7 linked regions of the Nothobranchius furzeri genome follow. The main gene of each other region encodes a partner of the protein of the gene in region 3 in a complex. Links are inferred from orthologs where the notes say so. Each region holds a gene or a part of one and is shown on either strand. Other genes may lie near its edges.

Evidence for each region.
Region 1: prpf31 (region 3) and lsm6 share a complex: the UniProt entries of both Homo sapiens proteins name them as parts of the U4/U6-U5 tri-snRNP complex. The link is inferred for Nothobranchius furzeri from reciprocal best matches to the Homo sapiens genes PRPF31 and LSM6.
Region 2: prpf31 (region 3) and usp39 share a complex: the UniProt entries of both Homo sapiens proteins name them as parts of the U4/U6-U5 tri-snRNP complex. The link is inferred for Nothobranchius furzeri from reciprocal best matches to the Homo sapiens genes PRPF31 and USP39.
Region 4: prpf31 (region 3) and prpf8 share a complex: the UniProt entries of both Homo sapiens proteins name them as parts of the U4/U6-U5 tri-snRNP complex. The link is inferred for Nothobranchius furzeri from reciprocal best matches to the Homo sapiens genes PRPF31 and PRPF8.
Region 5: prpf31 (region 3) and snrpd3l share a complex: the UniProt entries of both Homo sapiens proteins name them as parts of the U4/U6-U5 tri-snRNP complex. The link is inferred for Nothobranchius furzeri from reciprocal best matches to the Homo sapiens genes PRPF31 and SNRPD3.
Region 6: prpf31 (region 3) and lsm5 share a complex: the UniProt entries of both Homo sapiens proteins name them as parts of the U4/U6-U5 tri-snRNP complex. The link is inferred for Nothobranchius furzeri from reciprocal best matches to the Homo sapiens genes PRPF31 and LSM5.
Region 7: prpf31 (region 3) and lsm7 share a complex: the UniProt entries of both Homo sapiens proteins name them as parts of the U4/U6-U5 tri-snRNP complex. The link is inferred for Nothobranchius furzeri from reciprocal best matches to the Homo sapiens genes PRPF31 and LSM7.

What each region holds. Positions count from the first base shown.
Region 1 is NC_091744.1:10,586,904-10,590,962, reverse strand, and holds the start of lsm6 (U6 snRNA-associated Sm-like protein LSm6), read left to right. Parts: upstream 1-1,259; 5' UTR 1,260-1,348; exon of another isoform or gene 1,349-1,389; intron 1,390-1,409; exon of another isoform or gene 1,410-1,514; intron 1,515-1,759; 5' UTR 1,760-1,771; coding exon 1,772-1,865; intron 1,866-2,678; coding exon 2,679-2,792; intron 2,793-3,156; exon of another isoform or gene 3,157-3,271; intron 3,272-4,059. UniProt on the Homo sapiens protein: Plays a role in pre-mRNA splicing as component of the U4/U6-U5 tri-snRNP complex that is involved in spliceosome assembly, and as component of the precatalytic spliceosome (spliceosome B complex).
Region 2 is NC_091757.1:46,437,229-46,441,419, reverse strand, and holds the start of usp39 (ubiquitin carboxyl-terminal hydrolase 39), read left to right. Parts: upstream 1-1,391; 5' UTR 1,392-1,520; coding exon 1,521-1,581; intron 1,582-1,854; coding exon 1,855-1,933; intron 1,934-2,026; coding exon 2,027-2,121; intron 2,122-2,280; coding exon 2,281-2,417; intron 2,418-4,191. Other genes in the region: c17h2orf68 (UPF0561 protein C2orf68 homolog), read right to left, coding at 81-226, 467-582, 975-1,084.
Region 3 is NC_091745.1:76,605,409-76,607,881, reverse strand, and holds part of prpf31 (U4/U6 small nuclear ribonucleoprotein Prp31), read left to right. Parts: intron 1-465; coding exon 466-635; intron 636-710; coding exon 711-868; intron 869-946; coding exon 947-1,036; intron 1,037-1,173; coding exon 1,174-1,301; intron 1,302-1,430; coding exon 1,431-1,503; intron 1,504-2,473. UniProt on the Homo sapiens protein: Involved in pre-mRNA splicing as component of the spliceosome. Required for the assembly of the U4/U5/U6 tri-snRNP complex, one of the building blocks of the spliceosome.
Region 4 is NC_091753.1:37,695,469-37,698,037, reverse strand, and holds the end of prpf8 (pre-mRNA-processing-splicing factor 8), read left to right. Parts: coding exon 1-73; intron 74-153; coding exon 154-393; intron 394-467; coding exon 468-609; intron 610-689; coding exon 690-830; intron 831-922; coding exon 923-1,062; intron 1,063-1,212; coding exon 1,213-1,415; intron 1,416-1,502; coding exon 1,503-1,657; 3' UTR 1,658-2,069; downstream 2,070-2,569. Other genes in the region: rilp (RILP-like protein 1), read left to right, coding at 2,460-2,569. UniProt on the Homo sapiens protein: Plays a role in pre-mRNA splicing as core component of precatalytic, catalytic and postcatalytic spliceosomal complexes, both of the predominant U2-type spliceosome and the minor U12-type spliceosome.
Region 5 is NC_091746.1:48,714,996-48,718,978, forward strand, and holds snrpd3l (small nuclear ribonucleoprotein D3 polypeptide, like), read left to right. Parts: upstream 1-1,183; 5' UTR 1,184-1,315; intron 1,316-2,105; 5' UTR 2,106-2,120; coding exon 2,121-2,246; intron 2,247-3,033; coding exon 3,034-3,226; intron 3,227-3,609; coding exon 3,610-3,674; 3' UTR 3,675-3,805; downstream 3,806-3,983. UniProt on the Homo sapiens protein: Plays a role in pre-mRNA splicing as a core component of the spliceosomal U1, U2, U4 and U5 small nuclear ribonucleoproteins (snRNPs), the building blocks of the spliceosome.
Region 6 is NC_091747.1:62,679,641-62,683,199, forward strand, and holds lsm5 (U6 snRNA-associated Sm-like protein LSm5), read left to right. Parts: upstream 1-1,275; 5' UTR 1,276-1,353; coding exon 1,354-1,399; intron 1,400-2,450; coding exon 2,451-2,546; intron 2,547-2,633; coding exon 2,634-2,661; intron 2,662-2,732; coding exon 2,733-2,805; intron 2,806-2,882; coding exon 2,883-2,915; 3' UTR 2,916-3,059; downstream 3,060-3,559. Other genes in the region: late secretory pathway protein AVL9 homolog, read right to left, coding at 625-711. UniProt on the Homo sapiens protein: Plays a role in pre-mRNA splicing as component of the U4/U6-U5 tri-snRNP complex that is involved in spliceosome assembly, and as component of the precatalytic spliceosome (spliceosome B complex).
Region 7 is NC_091748.1:58,320,411-58,324,308, reverse strand, and holds lsm7 (U6 snRNA-associated Sm-like protein LSm7), read left to right. Parts: upstream 1-1,140; 5' UTR 1,141-1,244; coding exon 1,245-1,250; intron 1,251-1,490; coding exon 1,491-1,581; intron 1,582-1,680; coding exon 1,681-1,752; intron 1,753-2,981; coding exon 2,982-3,124; 3' UTR 3,125-3,398; downstream 3,399-3,898. UniProt on the Homo sapiens protein: Plays a role in pre-mRNA splicing as component of the U4/U6-U5 tri-snRNP complex that is involved in spliceosome assembly, and as component of the precatalytic spliceosome (spliceosome B complex).

The sequences.
Region 1 (4,059 bases), on a different chromosome or scaffold from region 3:
GTTTATATATATATATATATATATATATATATGTGTGTGTGTGTGTGTCTATAATATTTTTTACAAACCCGAAGTTGGTTACTCGTTAGAATAATTAAAAGAATTATTTGTTTTCATACACTTTATTCATAGACTTCTTCACAACTACAAAAAAGTTTTCCATTGGTTCAATAGTTTTTGTGATGTTAACAAATGTTTGTTATAATAAGAAAATATTTCACCAGGCACATGTTTATGTTTATGTTTATGTATTTAGCAGACGCTTTTGTCCAAAGCGACTTACAAGTGATGTGTTTATAAGAATGAAAAGATGTCTTTTTTAAGTGCACATCATAGACTGTACATACTGTGCACATTTTCCCATTTCCCCAAGATTCACTGATTTCCCTCTTTCCTGTTCACTCTCTCTCTCTCTCTCTCTCTCTCTCTCTCTCTCTCTCTCTCTCTCTCTCTCTCTCTCTCTCTCTCTCTCTCTCTCTCTCTCTGTCTCCCCCTCTCCCTCCCTCTCTCTCTCTCTCTCTCTCTCTCTGTCTCCCCCTCTCCCTCTCCCTCTCTCTCTCTCTGTCTCCCTCTCTCTCTCTCTCTCTCTCTCTCTTTCTTTCTCTCTCTCTCTTTGCCTTTTTAATCACAATTGTCTATTTTTGCTTATTTTGAACATATTTTAAATCATTTTTTGAAACCTTTTTTATATTTTATATTTTTGTGAAGTGCCTTGAGATTTTTGTCTTGAGAGGAGCTACAGAAAAGATTGTTTTCTTTCTTTCTTTCTTTCTTTCTTTCTTTCTTTCTTTCTTTCTTTCTTTCTTTCTTTCTTTCTTTCTTTTAAACGTTTGAACACTTACAGATCAAGAAGAAAGAAAATGTACCTGAAATTGGAATAGGCTTATTTGTGCATATCCCACATTACATTGAGATAAATTTTGAATTTGTAAAAAGAATAGTAAAATAATACAATGAGACATTCACATGAAATATTATGTTTTTACATATTTACAGTAGTTTCTCATTTTCTGTATGAATTTGTTACATAATAGAAATATTACTAATGCTTCAGTTTATTCAAAGTATAACAATGCACAACAAAACAAAAAAACTTTAGTATATTATAATATGAAAGCCAGTGGATATAATATTAATTACAACATATTAGAAATACATTTATAGAAAATAACTTGTTAAAGGAAATGGGTATATCGTATTTTTAAAATGTACTTTTAAATATTCTTGTTTTGTCTATCGAATTAAAACTTTGCGCTTTCAGGACATTTGTCCCTACATAGTTTCCGTAGTCCTCCAATGTGATTGGTCAATGCGCCGAACATAAAATCGTTGTGAGATCGTTCATCCAGTGAGTAACTTGCTAGCTCGGTGTTCGCATCTGTAAAACTAGTAAAACATCTATTTCCTATCTTATTAGGATCTGTTATGATGTAACAATACCTGTACATTGTACTTTATTGTTAAACAATCTCCTACGCTATTAGAGGCTAACGAACTGACCCACGGAATAGCTGGTAGTTAGCACTTAGCTCGCTAGCTACATAGAAGCTCATTTGATAATTTGAACGTTTTAACCGTACATAGTTTTGCATTTAGGCGTGTACTATCTGGCTACAGCTATTCGTTTTAATATTCTCGGGTTTGAATAATGCCTTTGTTACTAGATAATCAATTATAGCTTAAATGTGTATTAGGGTAATGCTAATGCGGTTCTTTATTGTGATAAAATGAGATTTACTCATCTGTTTTATTCTTTTAGATAAAAGCGAAAATGAGTTTGAGAAAGCAGACCCCGAGTGACTTTCTGAAGCAGATAATTGGGAGACCTGTCGTGGTCAAACTGAACTCTGGTGTTGATTACAGAGGTAATGCAGCTGGCATCAGGTGTGGGAATGTTTAGGGTTCTCAGAGTTTGATTAGGTTATGAATCAGAGGGTTTGTTAAGCAGTCATTGATGCATCTTTTTACGCCTTCTGCCTCATGTTTAGTTCTAGACAATGACCCCCTGACAACTACTTTTAATTTTTAATGATCTTTTAATTCATTACAGTTAAGTTCTTTATACAGGCAGACAGGAAGTTGAATGATGTAATCCCATATAGGATTAGAAACTATGAAACAAACACTAACTGAAAAACAGTTAAATTACTGCAGTTAAACTCCAGTTAAATGCTGAGTAATTGGAATAAACTTGAAAAGTTTCGTGAGGACCAAATTTTGCTTTAATCTTCAACAAACTATTTGTGTTTGTGTTGATATTAATTCATTTACCAAGCTAAAGAGAGATTCACACAGGTTACACAGATACATGGAGGAGGAACACTTTTTGACACAACACTCCTACTCAGACATCTTTGTTACAGTTTAAAATGTTCAGTTTTTCAGTATTTGATGTATTTATTTCTTCAGTCAAGACTCAAACTCCATCCCAGTTGCACACCATAATGTGCCACACTTCTGCACTTCAGATGTCTGCCTTTTACACTCACCTAAATAATGATCATTATTAAAATCTGTTTTGATAATTTTTGAATGAATTTGTAATGGTTTATGTTTGCATCAAAATGCATAAAAAACAGTATGCCCCTCTTCCCTAGCTGGCACGTTCAGGTCTGTTGTTGTTTTATTGCCCAGGTAAGTTTATTTTTAATCTGAAGTTTGTGTTTGTCTCTGAGCAGGTGTTTTGGCCTGTCTGGATGGTTACATGAACATCGCAATAGAGCAGACGGAGGAGTATGTCAATGGACAACTCAAAAACAAGTATGGAGATGCCTTTTTGAGAGGAAATAATGGTAAGATTTGATGTTTTCACGCTGCAGGGCGTTATACAACACCGTTTTCCTCTGTTACTATAGCTCCAAGTCATATTTAATGATTAAACATTCCAGGTTATGAAGGCTGTACATTTGCCATGATCTGAGTCTTTGGTGCAGTCAACTTCCTAGCCTCATTCTTATTAGCTCACAGAGACAACATTATTACACTGTGTGCTCTAATAGATCTTTCAGTTGTTTAGGTTTTTTTTTTCAATCCAAAGTGATTAGAGATTTAAATTTGTTGACAATTTTTAAATGAAACTTTCAAAGTCATGCACCACAAGATGTTTATTTTCATTTTCTCATTAAGCATTTTTGCACCTCAAACCTATCTTTATAGGAAAACCACAAGATATTCCCTTTTAAAGTTGGGAAACTAACCATGTCGGAGTTATACAGGAAGCTCACTTCCGATGAAAACATCGAGCCCCTTTGTTGCTGCTTTGAAAAAACTGGTAAAATGCTACTATTTTACAGCATCGTTTGTTAATTAATTCATTATGTTACATTAGAAATGTACTGATTTAGCTTCTGATGGCAGAAACTGATTTGTGTTGCCTCAAAGTGATACTAATTTTGGGTGATTTTTAAATATAATATGCTGTTTGAATTTAAATATTAAATAGAATATTTTGGAAGTGTAAACTTCTACATTAATAGGGTTAATAAGTAGGGTTAGGGAATATTTTGATACCTGTGTGATTTTTGTGGTGCCTCTCTAGACTGAGCAGATACAGCTGCGACTGACTACTAGGGATGCACCGATGGATCGGCATTTGATCCCAACTGGCCGATAGCGCCCCTATCGGTTTTGATCGGAGTTTTCAAAATGGATCAAAGCAGACCGATCAGGTAGGGTTGTCACGGTAACCGGTGTAGCAGTAAACCCCGGTAAAATAAAAAAAAGTTGACAATAATAATAACCGTCCGTTTTTAAAAAAACTATATTATCTCGGTGGTTTACCGTGGCTGCGGTGTAGGCGCGGTGACCCTTACCAGCCACCGTATCATCTGTTGAAGTTGCCAGCGGCACATGCGCACTTTGTTGTTTACAACCAAAACTTTCTTGAAGCTAAAGCTGAAATAATGGCCAAAGGAGGAAACGGCAGCGCGCAGGACATTTATTATACCTCAAAGAAAACAAAGTGGGAAGTACGGGCATTTTTTGAATATTTGAAGAATGCCGAGGGACAGTTTATAGAAGACGGCTATCCTGTTTGCAGCACGTGCAGAAAAAGTGTCT
Region 2 (4,191 bases), on a different chromosome or scaffold from region 3:
GAAGAAAAGAACAGGGGTCATTCAAACCAAAACAAAGAATTAAAAAGGCTTAACATCCATATAAATTAATGTGCTCTGACCTTGTGCACAAGAAAGGATGTAACAGTGCCAGAATCCTCCTGATAGTCAAGCCAGAAGAGTTCAGTCCCAAGGGTTTCAGTCTCTGAGCTTGACCCAGTTTCATTTCCTTCTTCAGCATCAGCACCGGTACCTGGCTCAGATCCACCTGGAAAAGAACATACATGCACTATCATGCCTTCGGGGCAGGAATTCCCAGTCTTGGTTCTTGTGATCTGATCCCTGATCCCATCAGTTGATCAAACTCAGCTAGAGCTCGGTACCCATTTACATCAGGCATCTTGAAGTGTGAAGCATTGGAAAACACTTGGGGCGGTGGATATTAGGGATCAGCATTTGAAAACATAGTTCAACAGAATGATCCTGGGGAGAATTACACAAATCTTACGTCTTTGTCGAGGATTGTAGACTTGGATGTCAGGTCGACGAGGTCTTTTTGGGGTTGCAGTGTGTCTTTGCTTCTTTAGCTTTTTGGCTTGCTTCACTTCCTTGTCATAATCATCTCTGAAAAAAGACAAGTGACAGTTTGATCATACAAATTTCAGTTACACGACTTTAGGTTTAGTTGTTTCCATACTTCCAGTCATTTGATCATAAACTTAAAAGTGTAATGCTGTATGTATTTTGCAATTCAAAACAAAGTAAATAGTTATTTAAAACAATAAGTTTCATGCATATTCTGCTAAAACCTGCAATAATTTGGCTAGGCCTGCAAACTTATAAATTGTTTTTAGCGGCTAAACGCGTTTATGTCATCAGCTACGACCTTTTCAGCATCCCCAAATCAACGTAACGTTTGATTAAAAGAATATCGCCTTTGAGGTTTTAGGCTGATATTAACCTAGTGTCTCATTTTCAACTAGCATTAACAGAGAGAAATTGAGGAAATTACCTACCTAGCAATCTGGTTCCTGCGGATATGGTGCAAGAAGCCATGGCTCATATCCAAACGCCCACCTGGTTTGTATTTTAGCTCATGCCCTCCATCATCTCTTAAAATATCCATGTCATTAAATGGTTGTAAAGCAATAAATTACCAATTGGTTAAATCATTATAAGAGGTCCTAATCAGACCTCAGACAAAAGCTAAATAGCACCTAGCTAGCTGTAAATAGTTGTCCAATAAATCACTTCCGGAGTTAACGCTGCAGGAACGATCACATTTAACATCTTAAATTAAAAAGTACAATAACAATTCAAGTATTTGTGTACAAATAAAACAAACACATGTTGTAAATTAACAGTTTCCTGCGCTAAAAAAAAACAAAGTTAAATTTCTGGTAGAATATTTTTCTTAACACCGGAATAGGTTTTGTTTTTTTTGTTCAGCGTACAACCACCGCGAGTTTCGACGTGGTCAGTCACCATTCATCTAAAAAATCTTCTAAATAAGTTAGTTTATTCCTATGTTGTTTTGATACCAGGCTCGCAGGATAACAGATATGATTTCCCTAAAACGAGAGAGGGAAATTGAGCTGGACGACGATGATAACGAAGACGGAGGTAAGTATGTTTATCTCTAACGTCAGTGTAACGTTAGCCGGATGCTAAGAAGCTAACTAAAAGAATTTGATTTTATGCACAACTTTGTACAGTCACTTCCTGAATGGTCATTAGACATCCTCAGTAACTAATGCATAGAATAACACTTTGCTTAATTAAAAAACATTCTGTAACAGCACAGCTATCGTGTTAGCATGTTTAGCCTATTAGCTTGTACATTGTTATGTAGCATTTTAGTTTGTCTTGTTAGTTACAATTATCATATTTTTGCAGTTGTAATCAAAAGGGGCCGAGGACATGCAGTAGAAGACAGAAGAAGTCGCCACTGCCCTTACCTTGACACCATAAACAGGCAAGAAAGAGAAACATATCAGCAACTGATATTAGCATTGCTTGCTAATTAGCACATTTGACAACCATTAACCTGTCTATGCTAATTTCCCAGGAGTGTGCTTGATTTTGATTTTGAAAAGCTCTGCTCCATCTCGCTCTCCCACATTAATGTTTATGCTTGCCTCATCTGTGGGAAATATTTTCAAGGTAGGTAAAGCTATCCAACCTTCAATCCTACATGATTAAACATGCTCGTGCACTTTGATAGCCTGGCAAGCCACACTAAATAAAACTTTGCAAAGCAAGAATTTGGTCTAGTTCACTAGGCTAGTACTTTGACACACTGGTGTTGTTTTTTTCTTGCAGGCAGAGGTCAGAAGTCTCATGCATACACTCACAGTGTCCAGTTTAGCCATCATGTGTTCCTCAACCTGCACACACTCAAGTTTTACTGTCTGCCAGATAACTATGAGATCATTGACTCGTCATTAGAAGACATCACGGTGAGTCATAGTATTGTTTTGTTGATCTTATTATGCCACAAGTGTCTATGGTTACAAAGCCTAAACATTTCCTGTTTAACAGAGACTGCAAACTGGAGAAAAGTTTTAAAAGTTTTAAGCATGTAGATGTAGATTCTCAGTCATCCAGGACATTTCAGTGCTAAGACTCTTGGGATGTTCCAAAAAGGGTACTTCACGATTCGATTCAATTTCGATTATTGGAGCTTCGATGCTTCGATTCTTCGATTATAATGATTTTTGGTTCGATTCGATTACTGGAGCCACGATTCTTCGATTATTGACATTTTTAATGTTTTTTCATACAAGATTGTCTTCTATTTTATCTACATTTGTAAATAAATAACCTATCAATTAATTCAGTTCCTCTACAACTGCTCTCTGTAAGTAAATACATTTTTTTAACATTTAACTATTTTTCAAAGACAAATTCTTATTTTATGACTGTATGACGTGTAAATATTTGCACTTTGACAAACTTAACTTTGGTCAGGGAAAGCTTTACTTACACTAGTGTCTCCTCCATTGTTGGGAAACACTGAAAACAGGCAAGCCCTGGATTTAATGAGGTAATTAATTCAAGTAAACAAGATTTTTACTTCCACTGAATTTATTTAATGGAAACTTAATGAGTCTGGCATATGATAACATTACAAAAAAAGCTGCCATACAGATCAAAAGTGCATTCCTCAAAATAAAATAATTCAGCTTATTCAGTCTGGAATATAGGTAACAGAAAAAAACCTGCTATATTTGAAGGTAATATGTTGCATTTTTTCTGAACAAAAGTGCATAATTCAACTGAACCTGTATTCAGCTTGGAGCTTCAGTACTGTGAGGCGAACACAACAAAATAGAGCAGAGTGACACTCATACTCATCTTAATCTTAGCTGTCTTCCCATACTCCCTCCCCTCCTTCTTGTCCCCTACATCCTCCAGTTGTGTGAGATGGGTAAATGTCAACATTGTGCTACTTTGACCCTCACTCATCTCTCGAGTTTGAAGAACGTGGCTCACCAACTTCCACCCGTTCTTGTCCGGCGCGAGAACAAAATGCGCCGTTACAGTAACGAAGGATTTGGTGGCAACCGATGTCCATGCATCGCATGTGAGCGCTATCCCGGTTGCCTTCTTCATGGACTCCAGCTTTGGTTTCCTCGTAGAGGTGGGGGACTTCCTTTTCTGCGAAGTGTTTTCGGTGAGGAAGTTTCTAGCGCGGCTCCATGGTGCGCACCACTAACTGAAACCCCCTGTTGTTTACTACTGAATATGGGCGTAGATCCGTCGCGATAAAAGTAGCTATTGCTTTTGTAATGCTCCTCGCCTTCTCTGAGCTCTTCGGTAGTTTGGAGACAGTCTCCAGGATGGAGAAAGAGGTCAAAGAGGTAGTGCCACTCACTAAACAGTCCGGGCGGCGCGTGCGTTAAGGCTCCGGTTACGTGTTTTTATTTTTTTTTAGTACCGGCGTTGCAATAAAACTTTGATGTTATGTTTTTTTAAGCATTGACGTTCATTAATCGATGTCGAAACAACATGTTTAGCTGTTAGATGCATCGCCACATCGATTAATTGCACCCCCCCTATAAGATTCTAATGGAAAGTAACTACCTGGAGATGTCTGAAGATGTTTCAAATTTTCATCTGACTCAGATGAGTGTTGGAGATCATTTTAACTAATGTGCTCAAAATTCAGTTGGAGACTAACCTTTTAACTCAAATCAAATTCAAATTTTATTTGTCACATAAATTCATACA
Region 3 (2,473 bases):
GTAAGACGCCCAAATTTTTATTTGAGACTCGCCGAACGGCATTGAATTCACAGATAAAAAGATGTGGGTTCAACTTTCATTTTGGAACAAATTTTCAAGCAAGGGAAGGGAATGATCTGAGCATGCAGGAGGACTGACCCATCATAAACCTTTGTCGGCTGTGCTGAAGAGAAAGGTACAGAACCAAATTATTTAATTAATTAGCTGCGTGTTCTCCTGTCCTCTGTCCTCCGGGCCACACACACACACACACACACACACACACACACACACACACACACGCACACAAGGGACTGTCTCAGCTGTTATTTTCATTTAGGAGTGTGCACGTACAGCATGCACGCCTCGTGCACGAGCCTACTATTGAAGCTGCCATTACGCTTTTGGCCTGAGGGGGCAACCGCGAGCATAAAATTTCAAAACTCCGTAAAGTCCCTTTAAAAAAACTTTTTTTTTTTTTTTCAGGTGTTTGCTGAGCGAGGACGAGCTGAAGCAGCTGGAGGAGGCTTGTGACATGGCACTGGAGCTGAATCAGTCTAAGCACAGGATTTACGAGTACGTCGAGTCAAGAATGTCTTTTATAGCCCCGAACCTGTCCATCATTGTCGGAGCATCGACCGCTGCGAAGATTATGGGTGAGAGGCGGTTCACGCTTGCACCTGTTGTAGGTGTTTCAGATCTTTATTTCCTTTTTGGTATTCTTGCTGCAGGTATCGCTGGTGGTCTCACCAACCTTTCAAAGATGCCAGCTTGTAACCTGATGCTGCTGGGAGCTCAGAGGAGAACCCTGTCCGGCTTCAGCAGCACGTCCCTGCTCCCTCACACCGGTTTTATCTACCACTGTGATGTCGTGCAGTCGCTGCCGCCTGTCAGTAAATGCTATTTTAGTTTAAAACGTCTCAGAAGTGAAACCTTTTGGCTCACGGAGATCATTTTTCCCCTTCAGGACCTGAGAAGGAAGGCTGCTCGGCTAGTGGCTGCAAAATGCACCCTGGCATCTCGAGTGGACAGCTTTCACGAGAGTTCAGATGGAAAGGTGCCTGTTTCTCACACGCTTGAATATAAAATTATTTATCATTAAACTGACTCAAGTATCTCATCTGTTTTGCCAACAAAAGTGAAATCTGTCTTTGGTTATGCAACAAATTGAGAATAAACATGTCCCTTCTTCAGGTTGGCTATGATCTAAAAGAAGAGATAGAGAGAAAGTTTGATAAGTGGCAGGAGCCTCCACCTGTGAAGCAGGTCAAACCGCTGCCGGCACCGCTGGATGGGCAGAGGAAGAAGAGAGGAGGAAGAAGGTATGGATTCAGTGAACCCGCTCAGACATTCGTGCTGTTTTTAAAAGCTTGCATAACTCACGCGGACAGGTTTAAGACCATAAGTGTGTGTGCAGCGTTCCCAGACACTCCTCTTGTCTTTCACTGTAGGTATCGAAAGATGAAAGAGCGCCTGGGGCTGACAGAAATCAGGAAACATGCCAACAGAATGACCTTTGCAGAGGTTTGGATATTTTCTCAGCTAGAATGTATAATATTGGATGTGACGTCATTTTCATGCAGGATTAGGATCAAAATTTAAAGGCTAATTATTCCTTGGAGGTAAATTTAAGTCTTTTAAATCATTTTGACTGTGGGTGTGAGGTTTTTCTCCAAACCTGAACAGATGATGGTAAAATAAAACCTTTGCCTTTAAAAAGCAAGTCACCCCCAAATCAACTTATTTTTCCTGATATATAAATGCGTGTCTAATCGTGCTGCAGACCCGTGTCGTCAATAGTTTTGCACTTTAGTGCATTTGAGTTAAAATTTAAATTTTCTGCCTAACGCCAGGGACACACCGGCCGCCGAAGCGCCGCGAAAAGGGGACCGCCTTCATTCGGCGCCCTTGTTATCCTATTCTATAGACCACATGGGCCGCCGAAGCGCGCCCTGCAGCGATCGTTTCGGCGTCTGCTCTATTTTTTTCGCGAGCCGCAAGTGGACCGCGTCAATTCTGGCAGGAAGTCAAACCTAGACATTAGAGGCAGGCCGGTAAATTTAACAAAATAAAGCATTTCAAAATACAATTCCACGATAGTCAAATGTGTTCGTAAACAGACACTGCATAAAAACCACACACACACACACACACACACACACACACACACCCCTAAGCGGCCCTCAGTTCATATTGCATGGAGCTCAGTGGGACGGGGGCAGGCTTAGCAAAAATAAAATAAGACATATTTCATACATTATATCACAGTACATGATAAGACAAACATTGAAAAATCTTAGGTGTGTGTGTGTGTGTGTGTGTGTGTGTGTGCGTGTGTGCGTGTGTGTGTGAGACCACGTGAAGGGGTGTGGTTTTGGGGGTCTTTCAACCGGAGCAAACAGGACAGAGAGGCAGAAAGTCGTAGGCCAGCTATTAACAACTGGTTCACACCATAGGTTCACACACACACAAACAGCAAGGGGGAGGGGGGTGT
Region 4 (2,569 bases), on a different chromosome or scaffold from region 3:
CTGATGAAGAGTGGATCAAGGTGGAAGTGCAACTCAAAGATCTCATTCTGGCCGATTATGGCAAAAAGAACAAGTAAGAGCTATTTTGAGTGTCTTGTGTGTTTAGAGCCAGCCTTGCGTTTTGTAGTAAAAGCTTCTTTTATCCGTGTCTAGCGTGAACGTGGCCTCTCTGACCCAGTCGGAGATCCGTGACATCATCCTGGGTATGGAGATCTCTGCGCCGTCGCAGCAGCGTCAGCAAATCGCAGAGATAGAAAAACAGACCAAAGAGCAGTCACAGCTCACCGCCACGCAGACCCGCACCGTCAACAAGCACGGAGACGAGATCATCACCTCCACCACCTCCAACTACGAGACTCAGACCTTCTCCTCCAAGACTGAGTGGAGAGTCAGGTACGTTAACTCTGTTTTTACTTCAACTTTAAATGATGGAGTGTTTTAATTCTGCTCCTCTTGACCTAACAAAGGGCCATATCTGCTGCCAACCTCCATCTCCGAACCAACCACATCTATGTGTCATCTGATGACATCAAGGAGACCGGTTACACCTACATTCTGCCCAAAAACGTTCTCAAGAAGTTCATCTGCATCTCAGATCTTCGGGCACAAGTATGCATCCATTAAGTTGCATTTTTTACCGTGCTGCTCATGTCTTGCCGCGGTTGTTGCCAACGATGTGCTGTTTCCAGATTGCAGGTTACCTGTATGGCACCAGCCCCCCGGATAACCCCCAGGTGAAGGAGATCCGTTGTATCGTCATGGTACCTCAGTGGGGGACTCATCAGACCGTTCACCTGCCCAACCAGCTACCTGGTCATGAATATCTCAAAGTAAGACTCAGATAAACAATTTTCAACAGATTTCTAACGCTTTTATAAATTTTTTTTTTTTGTTGGAGTTTTGAAAATGTTTTTCTGTTCAGGAAATGGAGCCCCTTGGCTGGATCCACACGCAGCCTAACGAGTCCCCACAGCTGTCTCCTCAGGACGTCACCACCCACGCTAAGATCATGGCTGATAACCCCTCATGGGATGGAGAAAAGACCATCATAATCACTTGCAGGTAGGTTTGATTTTAAGGTGTCTGTTCTCATTTAAAGCAGGATTACTGTGTAATCTGGAGCCTTTTTGAACCTAAACACTTACTAGACTCTTCCTGGAACATAATTATTGCTGAAACTTTAGTTTAAAGCATTTTTTCTGGTGTTTTCAGCTTCACGCCTGGCTCATGCACACTCACGGCCTACAAGCTGACCCCCAGTGGATATGAGTGGGGTCGCCAGAACACCGACAAGGGCAACAACCCTAAAGGTTACCTACCATCTCATTATGAGAGGGTGCAGATGCTGCTCTCTGACCGCTTCTTGGGCTTCTTCATGGTTCCTGGACAAGTCTCATGGAACTACAACTTCATGGGTCAGTAGCGTCAGCCTTTTGTATTGGAAAATGAAGAGTTGGCTTGTTTAGTAATCAGGTGATTTAAAATGATGATTTTGCCACCAGGTGTGCGCCACGATCCCAACATGAAGTACGACCTGCAGTTGGCCAACCCCAAAGAGTTCTACCATGAAGTCCATCGGCCCTCACACTTCCTAAACTTTGCCTCGCTGCAGGAGGGTGAAATTTACAACGCCGACCGAGAAGACATGTACGCCTAAGAGCCAGCTTCCTTCTGTAGATAGCTCTGAGAGTCACTGAGAACCACTTCAGAGATGTTCTGTAATATTTCTTTGATGTTTGAGGGTTTTATGTGAAGGCTTTTGGAGCTTTTAAGACTTTTTTTGTTCCTTTTCCCGTCTTTACAGTAAGACTCCTAGTACAAAGTGAGTTTTATTGTGGATCCTTGTAATTCCTTTCATATTTACATTGGCGTGTAGTTTTCAGTAAGCAATACTTTGATGTAATGTTTGACATTATTTCAGAAAGTTAAAGATCTACTTCCTTATTTAGCAGTGAGAAATGAAATTGAAAGTTGCTTTTTCATACCTATATTATTCAGTCATGTGTTGAGCTGTACATCCTGTGATGTTGTATCCTGGACTTAAATAAAAATCACCATTTTTATATCCAGTCTTCTGATTTGTTGTGTGCTTTTATTCCTGAAATGTAAATGTGGTTAAAGCAAAAGAGAAGGGCAGCGTTTTGTTGCATTGTAGGTGTGAGTAGGGGATATTACTTCCTCTTTCAGAGAGTGCAAAAGTCGGTCACCATAATTCAGTCAGGGATAATTCAGTCAGGGTTTAGAGATTGTTACAGCGTTGAAGGTTTTAGCTGCAGATCTTTCAAGTTGTTGCACGTTTGTGCTCTGGTTGGCCAGAAGAGGAGGAGGATCCTTTAGCTGCTGATGTGAACGGTAAGTCAGAGCAGGTTGATTAGTGTTGGTGCGTGGAAATGTGCATTTACTCAAGCTAGTTCAAAAGTTATTTTTTAGTTTCATCCGTTTCATCGTAATTGTGCGACATGGAGACGGACACGGAGAGTTGCAGCTCCCACGGCTGCTTTGGCCGGACGTTTTCCGCCCTGACCGTCGATGATGTTTACGAGATAGCCAAACTGGTCGGTGCCGAGGT
Region 5 (3,983 bases), on a different chromosome or scaffold from region 3:
CACGTAAAGTGCCCAACCACAAACTACTCACTGAAAGGTGTTTACAGATCAGCCATGGCTGCTGACGCCAGTCAATGAGCCAAATGCAATGGAAATCAAATGAAGATTCATTTGATGATGTCTTTTATTATCCCATTATGCCTTCTCTTTCCCCATTAAAAAGCTCTTTCAATGTGGGACAGACCTGCATTAGGCCACTTTTATGTGTCCCGTAGCAATCCCCGAGACACATCTCCTGGAACAAACATACACGGGTATGTATATTATGTGTACTTTATGTTTATTCTAGTTCTTTGCATATCATTTGTGCAGTACACTGTGGCCATACTCAGTGTTGTAAAAATAGATAAAATTAGTTCATTTTAATGTTTTGTTTTTATGTCTAATGCTGTTTTGATTTGCATGAGATACAGATCATAAAAATACTGTTGTGGGTGATTCAATGATGGATCAATGTTCCATGGGAATTTAAAAAGTACCTAACACTGAGCTGCTTTATGAAAAGCCATGTAAAGCTGTAAATGTCAACTTGGAGCCAAGATGACAAGTAATGCAAAACTGTTCTATTTTTCTGAAAGAAAATGCAAATCAATCCTGCTACTGGATCAACATTTGCTTTTTAAAACAATACAGTTCAGTGTCTGGTGTAGCTGCATAAATTGCCCATCGTCATTAGACGATGCAGAAAATGTAGTCAACAGCTGATTTCCTTCAAAATCATGGAAATCAAGTTTATTCATTAAACTTTAGTCAGATGTACGTAAACACATATTCAGTCCTCTTAGAAATGCAATGTTCTACTTGTGGAGAATGAAAATCAATTTTCATTTCCATCATAACTCAACATTTATAGAAGAAAGAATGAAACAATCTTTTATATAGCGCCCCCAAGATAAAAATCGCGAGGTGCTTCTCAAGCATAAAAAATTAAAAACAAATACAAGTAAAAAACAGATTATAAATTAAGGAAACGTGATTAAAATGTAAATAGTTTCTTATAATTTTAGTTTTTATTTTATTTAATTTTATGTGTTTCAGTCTTTATAAAAAAAATAATTCTACATAAGAAGCTGAGTTTGTCAGTTTCACTAAATAATAGTCCCATAGACTGTACATACTCAATAGTCCTCAACCATGGGCGTTATTGAACTACGTGTCCCACAATGCATCGCGGTAGGTGCCACCGGAAACACTCGTTGTGACCCTTCGTTGCAGGCGGAAAAAAAGGCTCAAAAGGATCCCGAAAGCGTCAAACGCACGTTGCAGTTCAAGAAGAAATAACAATAAAGCAAATAACTCTTACGAACAAGTCAAGGTAAGTTACAGGAGTAACATTAATTAGTTTGAGGAAACGGAGTTCTCATTCTTCTATTGGTTTTCGTTATTTAGAAATTTCGATTTATTTCGTTCATGTGTAGCATGGCTAAGGTTACGCGCATTTTCAAAACTCCGTATGTTACTGTAAAATATTTAGGTATTTAACTATGCTTATTAATCGTAGTAAACTGTAAATAGCATTTACGGCCAATCATATTTACTGTTTGGAATTGTTTAATGGTAGTTTCTAGATAAATTTGTCCTGTAGCCTTGCTAGCTAGTATGGCTAACTGAGCTAGCGGTTAGAATGCTATCAAACATTCTCCACCAGACTCTTAAAAAAAGAGAATACCCAAGCGAAATCGTTTATTCTCTAGTAATGTTATAAAGTGTATTACTGCGTAAATTCATGCTAAATAATAAAAACACCTTCATTTTAGTTAAGTCTAAATACTATGTCCCACATGAAAGTTTCAATTAATGTAGCGTTCGGGTTCACAACACTTCTTTTGTTATGGCTTTTTGCACAAAACCTGTTTTCCCAGGGCGTCTTTCCTTATTTGTCTTAATTTCAGTGACTAGTATTAATCCACAGTCATGAAAAAGTTCACTCGCCTTATTCTGTTGCTTCTCCTACTAGTTGTAATGCAGATTGTAGATTTCAGTGCTGGAAACTGGGCAACCCGGCTAACCAATAAAGTTAAATGGATTTGGGTTGCCAATATTTAAGAGCAGACATTTCTGTGGGTGAGCACGTATAATCTTTTGCTTTGTGTGTTGTGTTCCAGGAAAAGCTTTGAAACATGTCCATCGGTGTACCAATCAAGGTCCTGCATGAGGCAGAGGGTCACATTGTGACCTGTGAGACCAACACTGGAGAGGTGTACAGGGGCAAGCTGATAGAAGCAGAGGACAATATGAACTGCCAGGTTGGTTTGTTTAGCAGTATGGTTTAAAAGGGTTCCAGTGATTTTTAATTGTCAAGAAAAGTGTCAATGAAAAGCCTTCAAAATACTGTTGATCATAAACATCCAGTCAGTGCTTGTTTCAATCCCATCTGCTGCCTGAATAAATTTTGTTTTTATTTCTCTTGCAAATTGCCTTTCTTGCAGCTTTTTAATGGGTTAAATTAAAAAAAATATTTAATTTTTATTTTGTGCACTCACAATAACTTGGGTCAGTAAATTTGGCATTTAAGGTGTTCTGTTAATGTGGATTTTTTGTGGGGTATGTAGTCATAAAAGCTTTTGTTTGTGTAATTACTGGTAAACTAATTTGTGTTTGGGATTAGTGTTCCCCTAAATTGCAAAACGTTTGGCCAAACAATGGTGTACATGGATGCTTGGTGTGAAGAGTTTTATTTTTTTGTAAAAGTGTTTCATTAAAGCATTCTTATCAGAAAGGCTTTTATGTTGGGTTTTCATTTTAAGTTGGTCTTTAGCTTTCATGATTTACCCAGTTCAGTCAGTTATTTAACTCTGTTGTTGCATCATAATTTAATAAACAGTCTAAAGTAACATCACTCTTCAATTGGATTCTATTTCAGCACACATTTTTATAAGGGTTGAATAAACTGAAATGTTAATTTACATTTGAGCCATGCTAGTTTGGTAACCTGTGTGCACCAAGATCCAGATAAGTAACAGAACTGGATTAATGGATGCTCACACGGTCATTTCACCTGTTGTGGACCTAAACTTGAATTTGTCCCTACAGATGTCCAACATCACCGTGACCTACCGCGATGGCCGGGTTGCACAGTTGGAACAGGTCTACATTCGCGGCAGCAAGATCCGCTTTTTGATCCTACCGGACATGTTAAAGAATGCTCCGATGTTAAAGAGTATGAAGAACAAGAACCAAGGCTCTGGGGCAGGAAGAGGAAAGGCAGCTATTCTTAAAGCACAAGGTGAGTGAGAAGCATTTGGACAATTTCTCCAGATGCTGAGACAGCGCTAGAGTTTAGTTCCCTCTTTAGCTGCTTGGCTCTTAAATAGTTGTTAATTACTTTTTTTTACAGGTAACAACAGTGTTCTATGTGGACACTTCTCACATTTTCTGAGGTGGAATGGTTTGAAAGACAGATCCCAATTCTTTTTTATCTAATATAAAGGGAAAAAAAGGCTTTTTCAAAGGAATGTTTAATGGTATTGTCTAATTTCTTCTCTTGTAGAAGTCCAACATAGTCAAAATATTTGAGTAGGGAAAATAGGGATTTGTGGGGGGGCATTTCTTCCAGACCAAAGAGATACCTTTTTTTGGAGTTTGACTTTTTATTTTTACTTTTAACAGTGGCTGCAAGAGGACGAGGTCGTGGTGGAATGGGGAGAGGCAACATTTTCCAGAAGAGACGATAACTTATTTTGTTTTAAATTTCATTGTTTGATGTCATCTTTTGGATTTACTATGCTTTGGTTTACTTTGCAGTCTTTTGCTCTACAATTTATCACTGTTTTTATTTTGTATGAAATAAACAGATTTCAGCTCAGTGTTGCTCTTCTTGACTGAACCTTTGCTGTGCTTTGCCCCATTGAAGCCCTTTTTTTGTAGTATTATTCAATTTTGAGTCCCACCTCTTTCATTTATATTGTGTATTGTAACCTTTTAGCAAGTAAAATTTGTACATTTACCCACGGAAAAGCATTTTACTGCATATTTATCCTAGT
Region 6 (3,559 bases), on a different chromosome or scaffold from region 3:
AGATCTGGTTTTGTGGGAGAAAAGTGGTTTGCCTGCAGGCTGAGCTAAAGGGAGGTGTGGCTGCTGTGATGTCACAAGAAAGCCTCTTTTTTATGTTTGTATGAATAAAATATTTGTTCTGAAAATATGCACTACTTTAGGACTTGGGTTTAATCATGCCACCAAATAAAAGGAAGTTTTGCTTCAGAGTCAGTTAGAAAATACCAAAATGCAAGTTACTGAAAGGAAAATAACGAATTTCACATTTTTGAGAGGAACTGAGATATTTCTGATGCAGTTTTTAAAGCTTGTAGCATCTTTGATTATTGTTGTTTCTTCCTATTCTGCCCATCACCGTTACTGAACATTAGATAATCAATTAGTATGGAGATCCAACCGGATGTGGGATCAGGTGAGCAGCTGCTGGAAACAACTGGAAAATTATCTGAGGTGGCAGCCAGAAGAGATGTTATATAACTCCGCACAAACAGCTAGAAATCAAAGACGGTTAAAATTAATATTTCCATCTGCATCAAATCCATCTCACCTGCAGTGAGCTGGACCATAACCCTCCATTCTAATGTTTTAGTAGGAATGCACCTTTATACCAGAGCTAGCCACAGTTAGCATGAAGCAGGTTCGTACCTGACAGCCTTTTTTATGGTGAAATCCAACAACCACGATGTGTAGCACCGGCCCCTTCCCTTCAGTTTCGCTGCCGTGAGACTCCATTTTCCCTCAGTCTTCTGTTCTGGAGGTCCGGTGGCGTTTGTGAACTCAGGGGGTTCGGATGTAAACACAGCGAACGGAGCCTAGTTTGAGCCCCGAATCTTTCCCACGCACACACACTCACGCGCGCGCGCACACACACACACACAGCGCTGCAGCTAGATTTCAACAAGATGTTTCCCTGTTCCTCACTTCCGTGTTTGCGTTACCGATTCTGTCAGATCCATCGGGGTCAGAGCACGGATTAGCTGTTAGCATTAGCTTTTAAATGAAAAACTGGTTCAAGTCGCATTTACACAATTTATAACAACCTGTTTCCAATGAATCTACTGACATATTTTCTTGCGAATATCTGATTTTGATCAAATCCTAAAATCAGTCAAGCATAACTTAACCAGAAACAGGAAGTAAACAAATAAACTCTCCATGCTGCAAAATCCATACTTAAGTCTTATACTCAAATATTTTTGCCTCTAAAGTGATTGTTGTTTTGGATGTTTTATTTATTATTTTTTGTGGGGGAATTTAAGTATATTTTTTTATCTATAGCATTCCAAAGTAAATCAGAGTTTGTCTATTCTTGCCTGAATTCGATTTGCTCTTGATTCGATTGGTTGTGACTGCTGCAGTCACACGAAGAAAGTCATGGCGGCTACTCAAGCGACAAACCCGTCACAATTGCTCCCTCTGGGTTCGTAAAATCTAATTTTGTTCCGTTCTTGCTTCAGATAGTTTCGCCTTTAGATACATTTCAATAAGAACCGAACAAGCAGTTCTAATTTAGTGAGTAGCAAACAGAAGTGAGCCGTTTTAGCGGTAAAATCACGCCGGTGTTACGTACAGATCTTTTCACCGAAGTAAACCGTGTCCCCGCTTCCTGACAAGATTTCTAGTCACAGGATTGTGTTCCTCCTGCTAAAATATATTATCTGTGGTGTACGGATTTAATTGTCAGTATGTGTAATTTGTGAAGTAAGCAGTTGCATGTATTTGATAAATTTAGGAACTCGTGGGGGTTATGCTTAGTTCAGCCATCTTTATTGCTTGCATTAATTTACTAATAAAAGTCAAATAAGGAACATTTTACCATTTAAAACATATTATAGCTTAAAGAAAAAGTTTTAAAGAAAACCCCCGGAGATTCTGGTTTAGATGGGGGACACATCTCGATGCAACACCAGCAGGTTTTAGCTAGCTGCAGATAAAGCAATAATTTCGTGTTCAAGCGTGAGTTTTTACCTAATTTATTTTAACAGAGGAGTATTTGTGGCAGTCTAAAAACTAAAAGAAGTGATTGTGTCCTATTTTACAGCAGTTATGACCTGAAAAAGTCAAACCAGCTCGGGTGCCTTAATGAGGATGGCGTGCTGATTGTACACCTGTCCGTGTCTGAACATGAGCAAAAGCTGAGCTGCAGCAGTCATAATAATACTCCTGAACTTATTGTGTTATTTAAATTCAAAGTAGTCACACCCGTGAACAACTTTCGTTGACAACTGACAAGAAAATTCATTTCGTCCATCGACATATATTCAGTTAGATTTAGTCATATTCTTCTGCCACCTACTGGCCAATTAGTGTATGTGCAGTACAAACCTCAACAGTATTTCCCTTAAGAAAAAATGATTTTTAGTAGTTGGTCCTGATTGGTTTTAGATGCTAAACATCACATTAGTTATTTAGAAAATTGTTAAAATCAAACTGAAAACTGTAGAAAATAACCTAACCTGTTATATTTTCAGAGCTTGTGGACAAATGTATCGGCTCTCGAATTCACATCGTCATGAAAACCGACAAAGAAATCGTCGGCACCCTGCTGGGGTTCGATGACTTTGTCAGTATCCTTCCTTAAAAGCTGCTGATCAGCTGTAGTGCGTGATTCAGAGGTGACATGTTCAGATTTGGTCCTCAACTGTGTGTTTCAGACATGGTGCTGGAGGATGTGACAGAATTGTAAGTGTACGTTGTTTTATTAACCGGTGTCTGCCTCATTCATCCTGCTCATCTCCTGGTGTTTCTTCCAGCGAGATCACACCAGAAGGACGGAGAATAACCAAACTGGATCAGATCCTCCTCAATGGAAACAACATCACCATGGTAGGACACAAACGGCTTCGGTCTCTCTCAAACATCACTCAGCTGGATGATTCATGTCGGGTTCATTTCTCCTGCAGCTCATTCCTGGAGGAGAAGGACCAGAAGTGTAAATCCTGTTTTGTGTCTTTTGTTTATTCTCTCCAGGTTTTTGGAGCATATTTTTGTAACATTCTTTGTTCAGTTTTTAGTAAAAGAAGCAGGTCTCACGTGGGAATTAAGATGTCTTTGTTGCAAATAAATCTGTTTGAAAAACATCCTTGTTTCATTTATTTATCATAAAAAGTAAATTTAGTGCAAACATTGGGACAAAATGAAGTGTTACCATCAGAAACCAGTGATAAAATCCAGCATCCAGTCTTTGTTGGACTGTAAAGCTAAATGAGAAGTTTCACTTTTGACTCATGAACAAAAAACGTGGAACCGATCTAGAGCTGAAACAACTAATCGACTTAATCGATTATAATCGATTATTAAAATAGTTAACAACTTTTTTAGTCATCGATTAGTTGTTTAATAATCATATTTTACCGCATAAAGTCTATTTTTTACCACAATCAGACATCGGTTACAAGCTGTTAAATTTGCCGCCAGTGTGTGGCAGTAATGAGCCACTGATCTACCAGTGGAGCCGTAGAAGAAGAAATGAGCCAATGGGTGCCCTCGGTTTTCATGACGTATCACGTTACTGACGCTCATCTTGCTGTGAGAGATGGCGGAACAAGAGGAAATACGGAAGAAAAATAGAAGCGACAAA
Region 7 (3,898 bases), on a different chromosome or scaffold from region 3:
TCATGTCAATGACTGGAGCAAGCTCCATGCTGAGAGCCTTTATTGGTTATTGATTTTTTTCCCAATAACAATACTGAAACTCAAAAAATTAGAATATGGTGCAAAAGTTCACTTATTTCAATAATCCATCTTAGACTGAGAGACCATCTAAAGGCTCGGGAACCCTTTGCAGATGTTTTTGATTAATTAGCTGGTTAGAGTGCGACACTTTGAGTCTAGAGTATTGAACCTTCTCGCACGTTCTGTTTGTCTGAGATATTTAGTTTTAGATGTTTTCGTAAGCTGTAAGCCATAATCATCACACTTATAACAAATAAATGATGGAAATATCTGGTTTTGCATAGAATGAGTTTATCTCATGAATTTGTTTCACCTTTTAGGTTTTTATACTGAAATCAATAAACTTTTGAACCATGTTCAAATTTTTTGAGTTTCATCTGTATACATTTTATTTTAAAAAGGGTTTCATTGTGGGGCAGTTGGAAGCACTGGTGACTCACAGGAACAATGTCATAGGTTTAAACCTTGGCTACGGCCTTTCATTCTCTCCATGCATGTGTGGGTTTGCTCTGGGTACATGCTCCTCCAGCAGACCAAAAACATACAAGCTGATCGGCAACCCCAACTGTCTTTAGTTGTGAACTCAGTATTAGCATAGTTTTTAACACTGTTACATACTGTTTTGATTGTGAATTTAGCTAAATAATAAACGAAAAAGGCTGTTAGAGCGAGTTTCCCACTCGCTGATAACAAAAGTGTTATAGCGTTTTATTTAGAAAGAATTTACAGGCAGTTTTCTCTTCTCCATCTCCATCAACCAAAAGAAACAAAAATACAGATTATGATCCCCCCCCCCCCCCCCCCCCAGTTTCATTGCCATGAGACTAGAACGTTCCCTTCTAGCTTCTTAGAACCTGATTGTAGTTGCAGTTTATCCCCACTGGAGGGCGTAGATTTCTTCTGAGATTGTAGCCTGTAGCTATTAGCTAACGCACAATGCAGCTGAGAAAGATGAACGTTTTTCCCAGCCTGACAGCGTATTAAGACAATCACATGAGTGTGTATTTAACTCATTACGTTTTAGTAGAGATGGTAGTCCCGAGACTTTTACAAAAATCAATATTGTTTCATTTTACTTTTTATGGTCTACAGCTGGACCTCTCTGAACCCTCTGAACGCGTTATCTCATTGGATCACTATCATTTCCTAGGGTCTAAGATTTACTTCCGGGTCAGACAGTAAATATGGCGGTGAGTTCGTAATCCATGGCTTTCATTATATTGTGTTACTTTTTATCTTTTCACATCCACATTTGTATTGTTAAGATTTAGCTTTGTTTTCTGAACAAAAGTCGACTTGAACAACTTTTATTTTGCTGTGACGGTAGACGTTTTACTTAAATAACGTGGCTAGTAGTGAGCTAAGCTAAGGCTACGTTTTGTTTGTGATTAATTAGTGACTTAAGACAATGTAACCTGGCCTTTCTGCAGGATAAAGAAAAGAAAAAGAAGGAGAGCATCTTCGACTTGTCCAAGTATATCGACAAGACGATTCGGGTGAAGTTTCAAGGTGGACGAGAGGGTGGGTGGACCAAGCTGTTGCTAACCCTTTCATTTCGTGCAAGCAGTAAATGTCTAGATTTCCTTATGTGGAAGCCTAAAATTTGTGTTTTCTTCTCAGCAAGCGGCGTTTTGAAAGGATTTGATCCTCTGTTGAACCTGGTGCTGGACGGCACGATCGAATACATGCGTGGTAAGAAAACCAAAACTCAAATCCAGCCAGAAAACTGCTCCTCAGTCTGAGTCCATGTTTATATCGATGAAGGACTTTTCCTGAACACATTCCGAAGTTCCCCAACACACATAACTATAAAGTAATAATTCGCATTAATTTCGCCCCTACCGTCATCTTTAAAACGATCTACAGTTAGTGAAAATAAGCATGTTGATCAAAACATTATGTTCATGTTCAGAGCATGTTTAAGAGACATTTTTCTACTTCACTTTTTTGAGTTAATTTGTTTTTCAGTAAATTATCAGGAATACGTGTGTGTGTGCGTGCGTGCGTGCTAATCTTGTTTGACAATAAAAGCAACATAATTTTAGATTATCTTCAGTGGACGAACATTACATATAATTACATGTAGACAAAAACATGTTGCTGCTATGTTTAAAAGAAGAAAATTCACAGGCTCTAAATAATTCATTCTAAAACATCAAATAATCCGAGAGATTTTCTGGGCTTCAAATTGAAAAAAGGTTTCCAAATTTTCAAATCACGCCCTTGTATGTAAGATTAATTTTTCAGTTTCATAAAATTAAGAAAGTCTGTGTGTAAAAGCATCTGTGGAATTGTTTTCTTTTTGTACAAACAAACAGAAAACATTGTGTAGACACCTCTCTACTGGAACAGTGTGTTGTTTCCAGGTAAAGGTAAGTAGCTGGTTGTGTTTTTTGTGCTCTTACCCTGTAAGGTTACTCCACCTATCTCCTCTACCATCACTGTGGATTTGTTGAAAATGTGATGCTAGTTTGAACAAACACTGGAAAAATGCTCAAGTTTCTAATTCTCAGTTTAGTGTTTGGAGGGGAGGGTTGAGCTAATATTCAGAGGAGTCATGGAGGCCACTCGGGTGGAACAAAAACCAGAAACATGTGGGGGGAAATTAAATTGATTTAAAAATCCCCAAACAAAAGATGAGTGGCTTTTTTCAGTTTGAGGTTTGTTCTTTAGTGGTCGAAGCAGATTTTTAACAGTGATAACAAATCAAATGTTGTTGGTTTTTTATCGCTGTTACAAGTGGTCGTCTTGTGTGGACTTAACATCTTTGAAAAATACATCTGAACTGAAGATGGTCAAAACAAAAAAATCAAAGGTCTCACCATTCATGTTTTAGTTTTGAGTGCATTCCGGTAAAATGCTTGGTGGACACCCAGCTGCTTGACATTTCCAGTGTGAACGTTCTGTGGCTTTGTGTGCAGATCCAGACGACCAGCTGAAGCTGACAGAAGACACCCGACAGCTGGGGCTGGTGGTCTGCAGAGGAACCTCTGTGGTGCTGATCTGTCCTCAGGATGGCATGGAGGCCATTCCTAACCCATTCATCCAGCAGCAAGATGGATAACCCCCATGCTGCTGCGTGGCACACTTTTGATTAGACTTTTCTTTTTTAACATTACAGGACACTTGTCATTCAGACGACAAACATGTTTTAAGTTCATCACTGGTAAAATAAGGCTCCGTTGCACTTCAGTTTTATTTCCCTGCTAATTTTGCTCATTTTTGTGTTGTGAGGAGCTCCCAGTTCTGAAAGTGTTAAAACAAATTTCTTGTTATCTGAGTGAACTTTTTACTATTCTTTGTTTTTGATAAGAAAATAAAGTGGAAAAAAAGCTGAATCTGAATGTTTTTCTCCTTTGAACACAGAGGACGTGTTGGAAAGTTACACCAGATATGGTCTATTCGAAAGGGTGACAAGGATCTGAGTGGTTTTGTTGACCCGACAGACGTCCCCTACCTGCTGGTTGTGACTGACTCGATGGGTCTACAGACTACTGAACTCTGCAGTAAAAAAAAAGATGAGTGTGTTTAGGTTTAAAGGGAGTTTCTGTGTTTGAAGATAAACCGTTCAAGCTTGTCTGCACACTCACAAAGACACATATGTGGCATTAACAGCTTTTAAGTCAGTAATGCATTAAGCTGGGGTGGGGGTGTAAAGTAATGATATCTATGGATTGTTCCTTTTGAAAGAAAGGATCTTCAGTAGATTTTGGCGTTGGAGAAACGCAGAAACAAAATGCTGATGAGTTTTAAGTGAGATAACTGAAGCTGTTTTTTAAAATGGCAAAATTTTTACTTAACTGGATGTGAAACCTCCTAAAAGTAGGTTAGAATAGTG